Linked DNA regions of Caenorhabditis elegans. The protein of the gene in region 1 purifies or fractionates together with the protein of each later gene. This does not show direct contact. Each region holds a gene or a part of one and is shown in the gene's direction. Other genes may lie near its edges. The genes, in order: F59B1.2 and F15B9.8.

Region 1 (4,114 bases):
GAATTTTACAAGTTTTTCAATTAGGTGAGAAGATATAGAGCACTGTTGTAAATAAGTTTAAAAAAAAAATCTTACCACTAGAACATAAGAGCTCAAAAATGGAGCAAGATACCCGATACCATATAATCCAGGAAATGGAAATAAAAACACGAGGCTATGAAAACTTCCCCAATAAACTTGAGAAAGCCACAACGTGAAACAATGAGTTATCAAAACTATCTGATAAATTTGAGATTCTTTTTTTCGTTTTCTCGAAATTATTGCATAGAGTAAAATAAATACTATGATAGTGGAAATAACATTAATCAAGTTCATAAGTGGCAGTTGCAGAGACCGGTTATCATTTTCAATTACAGCGAAAAAGTGAGAATTTACAGAAAAATTGTTCATATCCACTGGTAAAAATAATTTTTAAAATTTTTTCTCGATGTGTTGTTACCATAGAAATAGCTTTGAGTGTTAAAAGAACAATGAAAAATTTAGAGACAGCTGATATAATATTATGATTAAATTTTATTCTTTTTCACTTTGACTTGGAATATGAATAATCTAAAGGTGTTTTTGCATTTAAATTTGGTGACGTGTATTTTTTGAAATTGGTGGGTTTTGATAAATACCCAATCAGAATTTGACCTTTAGAAAATTTTTTGCTAAAGACCAAAACAAACTTGAGTGGAAAAAGCATACAATTTAAATTGTTCGGAAAAGATTTTTTACCAAAAATTGTTGCGTGAGCTAATATATTACTCAGATTCCGAAATTCAATTTTTTTTTCCAATTTCCGTCTAACATGTTTCAGTTTTCGTCTATCATTTTTCAGTTTTCGTCTAACATTTTTCAATTTTCGTCTAACATTTTTCAGTTTTCGTATAACATTTTTCAGTTTTCGTATAACATTTTTCAGTTTTCACATTTTCAAACGTAATCCCAAATATTGCATCATTGCCTCAAACCTGAACTCCTGACCACTTCCCACAAGCAAAATATTTGTGTTTTTACCATACTTTTAATGATCACAATCTAAAATTTACAGATAAAACCACCACTCCAGACTCATCTATGAACGTTCAAAACATCAACCCGCGTGATCTCTCCCACCAAATTTTCCCAGTTTTTTCTTCAAGCGACGTTTCCTTAACCGCTCTATTTCGATCAATTTACGTCAATGCTCTGCGAGTTTGACGTACACAAAAATTGGTGAAAAGTGCAGAAAACAGTACGTTATCAGTGTGATTGTGCTTATAAGCTTCATCGATTGCTATCTATTCTCAATTGTTGGTGACACTTTTTCTCCCGGTTTTTTTTCGATTTTTAAACTTGATCAGGTTTATTTTATGATTATTTAGTTTAGAAGAAACCTTTTAATCTGTGGAGATTTTGCTTTGGATTCCAAAAATTCCAAAAAAAGAAACAAACGAAAAAAAACCAAGTTTTGAAAAAAGATGTACTTCAAAATAAAAATCCCCGTTCAAACCAGCCATCGTCATTCAACTCCGCCTACTTGGCTTGATTGGTTCAAAAGTGGGCGGCGCTAATCGCTGATTGGTCCACGTTTTTGCAAAATGGATATTTCATAATTTTTCAACTTTTTCTGTTATTTTTTGTGGTATTTCTGAATCACAGTTTTAATAAGTATTTCACAGAAAACCTCCCATTTCTGCTATTTATACATATATTACCAATTAAAAAAAGGTGTTTAAATTTAAAAAAAAAATGTAGTGACCAGCATCTCACGAGTTAGTTTTCACATTAATTATGACAACACCAATAACTCAAAAACCAAAGTGTTCATCTTGTTTTTTAGCCACAAACAGTTCAGAAATTATCGCCAATTCATTGTCATGTGAGATGTCGGCTGCTATATTTTTTGTCATGAGATTTAGGGTTAACAACAATTTGGGCGTGATTTTATATTACTTTTGAAAAAAATAAATTTTGAGTTATGCAAATTTTCTAAAAATTTTTTTTCTCTGCATTTTTTGTTGTCTTTCAGCTTTTCCTACACAAAATTTATAATTTGAAAAATTCAAAATTTCCAGAAAAATGTATCGTAAGACAATTGTAGTCCTTGCCATCTGTGCACTTCTTTTTGTTTCTTCAATTGACTGCAAGAAGGTAGCCAAGGACAAGAAGGGTGGAAAGTTAGTTTTTTTTTAATTAAAAAATTGATTTTTGAATTATTTTGTATAATAATTTCCGTTGAAATAAAATTTATTATTTAGAGCTGAGAAAGCCGAGAAAGTGAAGAAGGTGAAAGCTGAGAAAATTGTGATCGTCGATGAGCCAGAAGTTGTTCACGAAGCAGCACCAGAAGAGGTTCATCATGCTCCAGAAGAAGTTGAAGAAGCCGAGGAAGTTGTTGTCGTCAAGCAGCCAGTTGCCCAGAAGCACAAAATTTCTCCACCAAAGTCATTGAAGGTCAGCGTCAATTGTTTTGATATCAATTTGATGGATTTCTAAAAAATGAGTAAAAAATTATTAAAAAAAATTTTTTTTTTACTAAAAAATTAAAATATAACATTTGAAGATTTTACTAAATCTAAAAGTTGGCTCAAACTTTAATTCTTCAGGTGACCAGCGCCTTCGAGACCTGCAAACTTGAGTGCAGAAAGCAGAGAGATGCCGTTCAAGCCGCTGATGTGAGTTTGGATATTTCCATCTTTTTTTTTAAATAAAAATTTTAATTCCAATTTTTGGAAAAAAATTTAAATGAAATAAATTTTGTTTTAAAACTGATATTTCCTAATTTCAAAAAACTTTTTCTCATGTTTTCGTCAAATTTTTATCTACAAAATTTACACAGGAAAAGGTTTTAACTTTTAATTGAAAATTTTGAAAAATTCCAGAAAAACTGCAAAGTCACAAGTGTGTGCCGAGGAAAGTGAAAAATATTTGAGGCAATTTTTTTTAGCAATTTTTCCAAATTTTCAATTAAAGTTTAATTAAATTTAAAGTCACTTCCAAAACATTAAAAAAAAACATATTTATCTGTATTTCTATATAACTTTCTTTTGAAAAAACTTTGGCACAACCGTGTGCTACAAAATTTTTTTTTCCAAATTTTCAAACTTGTTTTGCAACTTCTAAATTCTACTTTTTCTCAAATTTTCAGTACGTCGAGCAACTCCGACGTGAGCTCGCCTCCGCTCAAGCCGCCCTCGACGCCGAAAATGCTCCAGTAGTCAATGCTCACCACGCTCAAGCCCAGCACGTGGAGCCAGTTGACAATCAATAGATTTTTACATTGAAAACACTGAATTCAAAAACTATATCATTTATTATTCTTATCAGCAAATTAAGAATTAACCATCACCATCATCATCACAATCACGTTTTGTTTTATCAATACAATCGATTCGATTCAATAAAATGTTTATATTTAGTTTTCAATTGTGTGTGTGAGAGCTCGTGTTATCAATCGCTTGTGTGATCGAGTAGGTGACTCGGGTGGCTGGAAAAAATTGCATAGCTATATATACACATTCTAGTTTGTAGTTTGTAGTTTGTGACGTCACTGGTCGTAAAAACTTTGGAAAATTGCGCACAAGGGAATCTGGCCGATCTGTGGTGAGGGAAGCTGACTAAATGCGCAGCGCCCGACATTTTCTGGGTTTGGCACTATTTTTCAGATAAATAGTTGCACTATGCACAGTAGACAAAAGCAGTTTGCAGTTTGTAATTTATGTTGCAGCCGACACTAGTTTGGGACCGCGAGAACCCACTCTTTTATCTAAGATATTGCCCTTAACTCACTTCTCTTCGTCAATGGATTTTTCATCAGCATGTTTCGAAACTCGCGATTCAAAAGAATCAAGACCAACGGATCAATAGTATGCACCAAACTCCACGCTACCGTCGTGCACAGGAAAATAGCCACCGGCTGTGATTGCATTCCGGAGATTATGAAAAAGAAGACGAGCTCCGTCGCAAAAACTGCTCCCTGAATCAGAGCCTGCTTGACGAATGTGATCTCCCGCTGTCGCTTTTTCTGGCTCTGGGCACAGTTGGCTGACAAAAGCTTCTGAAACAATATATACAATGTACAGTACTCATATATTATACTTACAGTAATCTCGCAATCTTGGAGATAAATTGTTTCCTACAGTAATCCTAC
Region 2 (5,958 bases), 9.4 Mb from region 1:
TTTTATGTTCGTTGATGTTTTCTTCTCAAAACTGATTTCTTAACTGTCTTATGTTCAAATCGAACACATCCAGACGTGTTCCTTATTCAACTAATCGTCATTATCCAGTTTCAGCAATGAAGTGTAATAGAGGGTGAAAAAGGCAACATCTTCGACCCGGTTATCATCATCAGCAACCCTCTTGTTTCTTTATCACCTCTATTTCTTCATTTGCCAGTGTAATGCACTTTTTCATCGATGGGCCACCGCCGACGGATCACGGCATCCGTGGCATGCATTCCTATCTCTTCAAGGATTCCCTTCCTCTTTCCACCCGCCAATAATCAACAACTTAATTTCTATTCAGACCGTACCTGTTGTTCACCTCATCCCGATTGATCTTGTCGCCAATTATCATTTTGTTTAGTTGTGTGTTGGGGAGATGGCTATACCTGAGAATTTGAATATTATGAGGGCAATGATAACGAAGAAAGGAACACATATGGAAAAAGATATAAAATACATTGAATATGGGAGGAGGAATAATTATAATAGACGAAGATTGCATCGAGGTCTTGAAATTTTGATTTTAGTTATTCAAATTTCAAAATAACAGCCATCATTTTGTCGGTTTTTCTAAGAAATGGTCTACATAGTTAAAGGTCTATTGTTTAAATAAACATTGATACTCATTTTTAATTTAATATACAAAAGTTGGAGTTTCAAAATTACAAGATTAAACAGTGGACATGGACGAAAATTGCAATCCGTGCTCATTACACTTGAAAAGCTTTTTTGAAACTTATATTAGTAAAAAGCTAGGTCCCGTACACCATTTGTAGGTGCAAATTATCTCAACTCAAATCAATCACAGGGAAAATCTTTTCGTACAGACATGAATTTTGTTCATTAAATTTGAGCCTACACCCTTTTTCTGATTGTAGCTCCCAAATGACGTGTGTGAACAAATTAAACCCTAGAACTCTGTACCATATTAGTTACAAAAAAATACTCGTTAGAATTGTCAATATGATTTTAGGCTTCTATTTGCTTCAAAAGGTCAAAATTCTATCACGTGCTTCTCAAGTCTGACCCAGAATATCTTAAAACTCTTGCTGATATCGTATCGTTTCCGCCTAGGTAAATCCACTCTCGATTTTTTATTCAAAGGATCACATCACAATGAAAAACCCTCGCACATTCTCAATATCCAATCATTAGACGGAAAAATGTGGAAAAATGCCGAAAAAATCCAGTTAGCCATGTAAATCGCGAAGGTTGATGATGCATCAAACAAGCGGACAACATTGCAAAAACTCGATTTTTTTCTCGCTTTTCCCTCAACCCATTTTATCGTTATCGACACCAGTCTCCTCATTGCGAGTGCCTCCGCCCTCCGGATGACTATTTCGGCCCCTTTCCCCCATCTTTTTGTCGACTATCCACAAATGTACAAATACATGAGATTAGATGCGTACCTTTCATCAAATTTATCCGTGATTATAACTTTTGTCGTTTTCTTTTTACTTTTTCTTATCACTTGTCCGTTCATGGAATTGGATATGAACGTACACATTTGTATTACGCAACAATATATTCTACATGTACCCGTTCCATAAGTGGTGATTATTTAGAGAAATTGTCTAGAATCTAGAACTATTAGTCACGCCTTACTGACCAGATTTAAGATACTAATGAATAAATGTGAAAGTGGTTTGATTTATTGGCATGTTTATGCCATTCACACGTCATTTCGATTTTCCCTATAAATTTGTATTCTTTTTACTATTTTCTCACATACTTATTTTTTGCTTATTTATATTTTCTGATTCCTACCCAATTTCAGAAGACATGAACCGGTGCATCTTGCTCGCTCTCTTACCCCTTATTTCAGCGATTCCAGTTGCTGTTAATATAGATGATCAAGACGTAAGTTTTTTGTTTTAGTGGTTGAAAAATAAATAGAGAATTAATTATAGGCAGTGAATTTGGGAGCTTACGATCGAGCACGATTTGATCTCGTAGAAAGTTTCCACCCTCTTCAGCCAGCTTCTGCAGTTACAAGTAAGTGAAATGTTTGCCTGGTGGAATCAATAGATATAAATTGTTTTACAATTATTTTTGAAAATAGATTATTGAAAGCATGGCACTAATGAAAAATTTAGTCTGCCGGCTGTGATAATTAATCACTTTACCGTATGCTGACACTGTAGGCAAACATTTTTACTTTCAATTTTTAGGAGAATGTCTCTAGAATACCTAGCGAGCTTTATGTAGGCACAAAATTTGTTTCTGTTTTTCAGGATAGGTTTATCACAAAATTTAAGGTATTCATTCATGTTGTTTAGTAACATTCGTTAGCGGCTAATTTTATTTTAGAAAAACTAGGAGAATGTAAAAAAACACAAAAACACCGGAAAATAAAAGATTAGGAAACTAACTTACTTACAAGGGGAATATGATATGAAATTGGCGCGGAGGGAAAGCTACTAGTTCTCAAATCATTTGAAAGTAACTCGACACCTACCTGAAGCTAAGGGACACGCTGGCTAATTGTGAACAAATATTGTTCAAAAAATTCAGTCTCATACAATTGTTTGTCAGCTTTTACTTGTTAAAAATATTGGCATGGGATTTAGTTTTCGGAGAAAGAAACACAAATAACCCATTTTGTTGAATCGTTTATTTAAGATGCCGAACACTTTTTGAAATCTTCGAGACTGTAATTATTTGATAATATGTAAACGGTCAAAATGTTTGATTTGGTTAAAAATGAACATTTTGGTGTTTATCTTAATTTTTATAAAGGCATATTATTTGCGACATATCTAGTTTTCTAATATTTCCAAGTTCCTGAAAAATGAACTGTTCTGAACGAAAAAATATTCTTAAAGGTAGATATATTGTTAAAAACAACTGCTATGATGCTAAAACGACCATTATAGCAAAACTTCCATATATCATATGAAAACTTTCCAAAAAATTTTTTTAAACATTTTTATTGACAGTCAAAAAGTGGTAATTAGTGAGTTTTCGCTACTTTTTGATAAAGTTTAAGCATTATCAAAATTTTGAATCCCTTCATTGCTTGGATATTAATATTTCAAACATAAGTAGACTGTATGTAGAATTCGAAGGAAAATTTTTGATTGACGAAATTCAAAAAACAAATGGCAAAAATTGAGATCTTCCCAATTTTTTAAAGTTTTTTGAATTTTTTATTATTATGATAGTTGATTATGGTGGTGCCACACTTCTCCATCTTTAAAATTTCAGTGCTGAACAATTCTTTAAAATTCACAGATTTCTCTAGAGTCTTTAGAGCAGAAAATAATTTGAGAAAGCACTGACGTATTATTGTCAAATGTTTGTCAATATTTTTACAGCCATAGAAAAATGTTTTAAAATCTTTAATAATGAAAAAATAAATAGTAAATTGATTTTATAAAATAGTGTGAAATTTTCAGACGATCAAATTGCTGAAGTGCGTGCCAAAGCAGCTGGTGTGAGGCAAAACGAAGCTTCAATTTCAATTGACTTGCCAACACAAATGCTTTCCGGGAGTTCGGGAAGAATTCCAGAAAGTAAGCCACTAATTGACATTTCTCTAACACGTGTGACCATATCGGAGAATAGAAAACAACAAAAATCAAGAATTATCACATAGCTGTGTGAGCTGCTCGGACATGGCTCCGTGAGAATAAGCGCGAAAGTCGTAGAAATAGACACGTTTTAACAAAATTACTCTATCGGTTAAAGAAAGCTTTGGAGCAGGGCGTCTAAACAAAGAAAGAAGGAATGGAGAAGAAGTAGGCGGCTTTGGAAAAATAATAGAGAAAAGGACGAATATTTTAAAATATTATGAGACAAACTAGGGGCGCAGGGGCAACATTCTGAATTTTTGATTGAAATTTGACGACTACTCGGAATTATCTATTAAATGATCTTCTATTAGTTATTTAAAGGATTAGTTGTTATTTTTGACATTAAAAAAAATAATCCAATTTTTAGTTTAAGAACTTGGAGAAGACTACAAGTCAAAAAAAATCGGGAAAGAATCTGCAGGGTGTGTCCTCACAGAAGATTGTTGTTAATTAGTAATCTTGAACTTTAAAATTTAAGGATTCAACCGAATCAATTTTGAAATTTTGAGACTTTTTGAAGATGGATTTTTTTGTAAGTTTGTATTATAAATCAGCAAAATCAGATTGGAAATATGTTGAAGTTTTTTTGCAACTATTTTAAAAAAATTTGAGTGGAAACTAACTGAAAAATAAGAAAAATAATTAAAGCTTATACTAATAAAAATAAAAAAAAAAAACCAAAACCTTATTTTCTGTTTAAAGTTTATCAAAATTAGGCGAATTTTATTGAATTTAGCCGAGAATTACAGACAAATTTAAAAATGAAATAATATTTTGAAACCTACTTTGGGTATTTTGAAGTTTTTATCCCAAAAAAAGAGACTTAATTTAACTTTAAGAAAAAATCACGATTTGAAATGGAATCAACGAACAGCTCTTTGGCTTCTCTATATTGAAAATTGTAGTTAACAATTTTCCGAAAACGGGATTCGTATTTATCAGAATCATATTTCTTATGATTTAGTATAATTTCTTGGAATTTACTATCAAGAAGAATACAAACACTTTATAAAATATTTATGACAGAACTGAAAGACGCATATAATATGAGATATAAAAAGAGCTAAACATGAAAGATGTATCCACTAGTAGCATCGTGTCTAATTCGATTCGATTTGCAAGTTTCAATATTTTGTTGTTGATTCCCTTGAGAGATTTGAGAGAGTCTATCACATTAGAACATTAATCTGTTCTTATCTCTTTTTCTCTTAAAATAATCACTTTTCAGGATTGGCGTTCGGAGAATGGACTGAGTGGACTTCATGGTCAATGTGCCAAAATGGAGAGAGATCAAGAGTTCGTACATGTGTTTCCAGAAAACCAGCTCTTCGTGTTGTATGCCACGGAGATGCTATTGAGGTGAGATTTTCCTTTTATATAAAATTATTCAGTGATAAGTTCATTGAAATTAGGTGGTTAACCAAAAAAGTTTTCCGCGGATCATATTTCTCCGAGTTTATACAATCTGAAGAGCAATTTTTGATGAGAAGCTTCATTTTTTTGTTGGTTTTTTGTAATAAATTTTTTTTGCAATAATTTAAAATCTGAATTATTTTCAACACGGAAGAAATTGATTTCAATTAATGTTTTTACAGATTGAGAAATGCTACGTTGACGCCGGAGAAGGTCATATTCCAGTTGCCGCCGACCCATGGTCCATCGAACGTGAGATTAGCGGAGATTTTGCCTAAATCCGAACAATTTCCGAAGAGAGGAGCACAGAGACCTCTTATTTAATAATTCATTCATTTTCTCACAGTCAGTTCTCGAATTGTATGCACTAATTGTTATTTTCGTTTTCCAATTCAATCTAATAATAATTTATTTATTTATTGTTTTTTTTTTTGACACTGCAAGAGAGGTCTCAAATGGGACCTACAGGAAAAATTGAATCGGTATTAATTTTTCAAATGCTCATTAATGGGAATAACACAATAATGACAATTATGAGAATTTTATTATTAATTTGAATTCACAAATTGTTATTGAAAATTTATAAGTTTTGTTGAAATATACTCACTATCAAAATAGTAAAAACAGAGAAAATTAAGGCATTTGTCATGTTTGAACCCCTAAAATGCTTAGGTACAATATTAGAACATGCTTCAACTATTTTTAAAAATTCAAAAATGTTCGAGCAGTTTTAATATTAAAAACAATGCAACATTAAGCAAATTTTTAGAATAATTTCTCCCCACTACTCCACGTTAAATTTAAAGTGAAATTTCAAAATTTGACTCAAATAAATGAAACTCCTACATTTAATTTTAGAAAGATCATAATTGTTTGAACGAAGTTCAAATTTTTCAAAACATTTATTTTCAAATTTCAGAAA

What was found.
Region 2: the proteins of F59B1.2 (region 1) and F15B9.8 fractionate together in Caenorhabditis elegans (co-fractionation; one large-scale study listed by BioGRID). This does not show direct contact.

What each region holds. Positions count from the first base shown.
Region 1 is NC_003283.11:3,631,302-3,635,415, forward strand, and holds F59B1.2 (uncharacterized protein), read left to right. Parts: upstream 1-2,039; 5' UTR 2,040-2,043; coding exon 2,044-2,141; intron 2,142-2,222; coding exon 2,223-2,418; intron 2,419-2,570; coding exon 2,571-2,639; intron 2,640-3,112; coding exon 3,113-3,235; 3' UTR 3,236-3,377; downstream 3,378-4,114. Other genes in the region: F59B1.6 (Serpentine Receptor, class I), read right to left, coding at 76-390; srx-41 (7TM GPCR serpentine receptor class x (Srx) domain-containing protein), read right to left, coding at 3,387-3,451, 3,754-4,021.
Region 2 is NC_003283.11:12,986,731-12,992,688, forward strand, and holds F15B9.8 (Beta/gamma crystallin 'Greek key' domain-containing protein), read left to right. Parts: upstream 1-1,825; 5' UTR 1,826-1,830; coding exon 1,831-1,908; intron 1,909-1,958; coding exon 1,959-2,043; intron 2,044-3,446; coding exon 3,447-3,563; intron 3,564-4,851; coding exon 4,852-4,982; intron 4,983-5,218; coding exon 5,219-5,314; 3' UTR 5,315-5,454; downstream 5,455-5,958.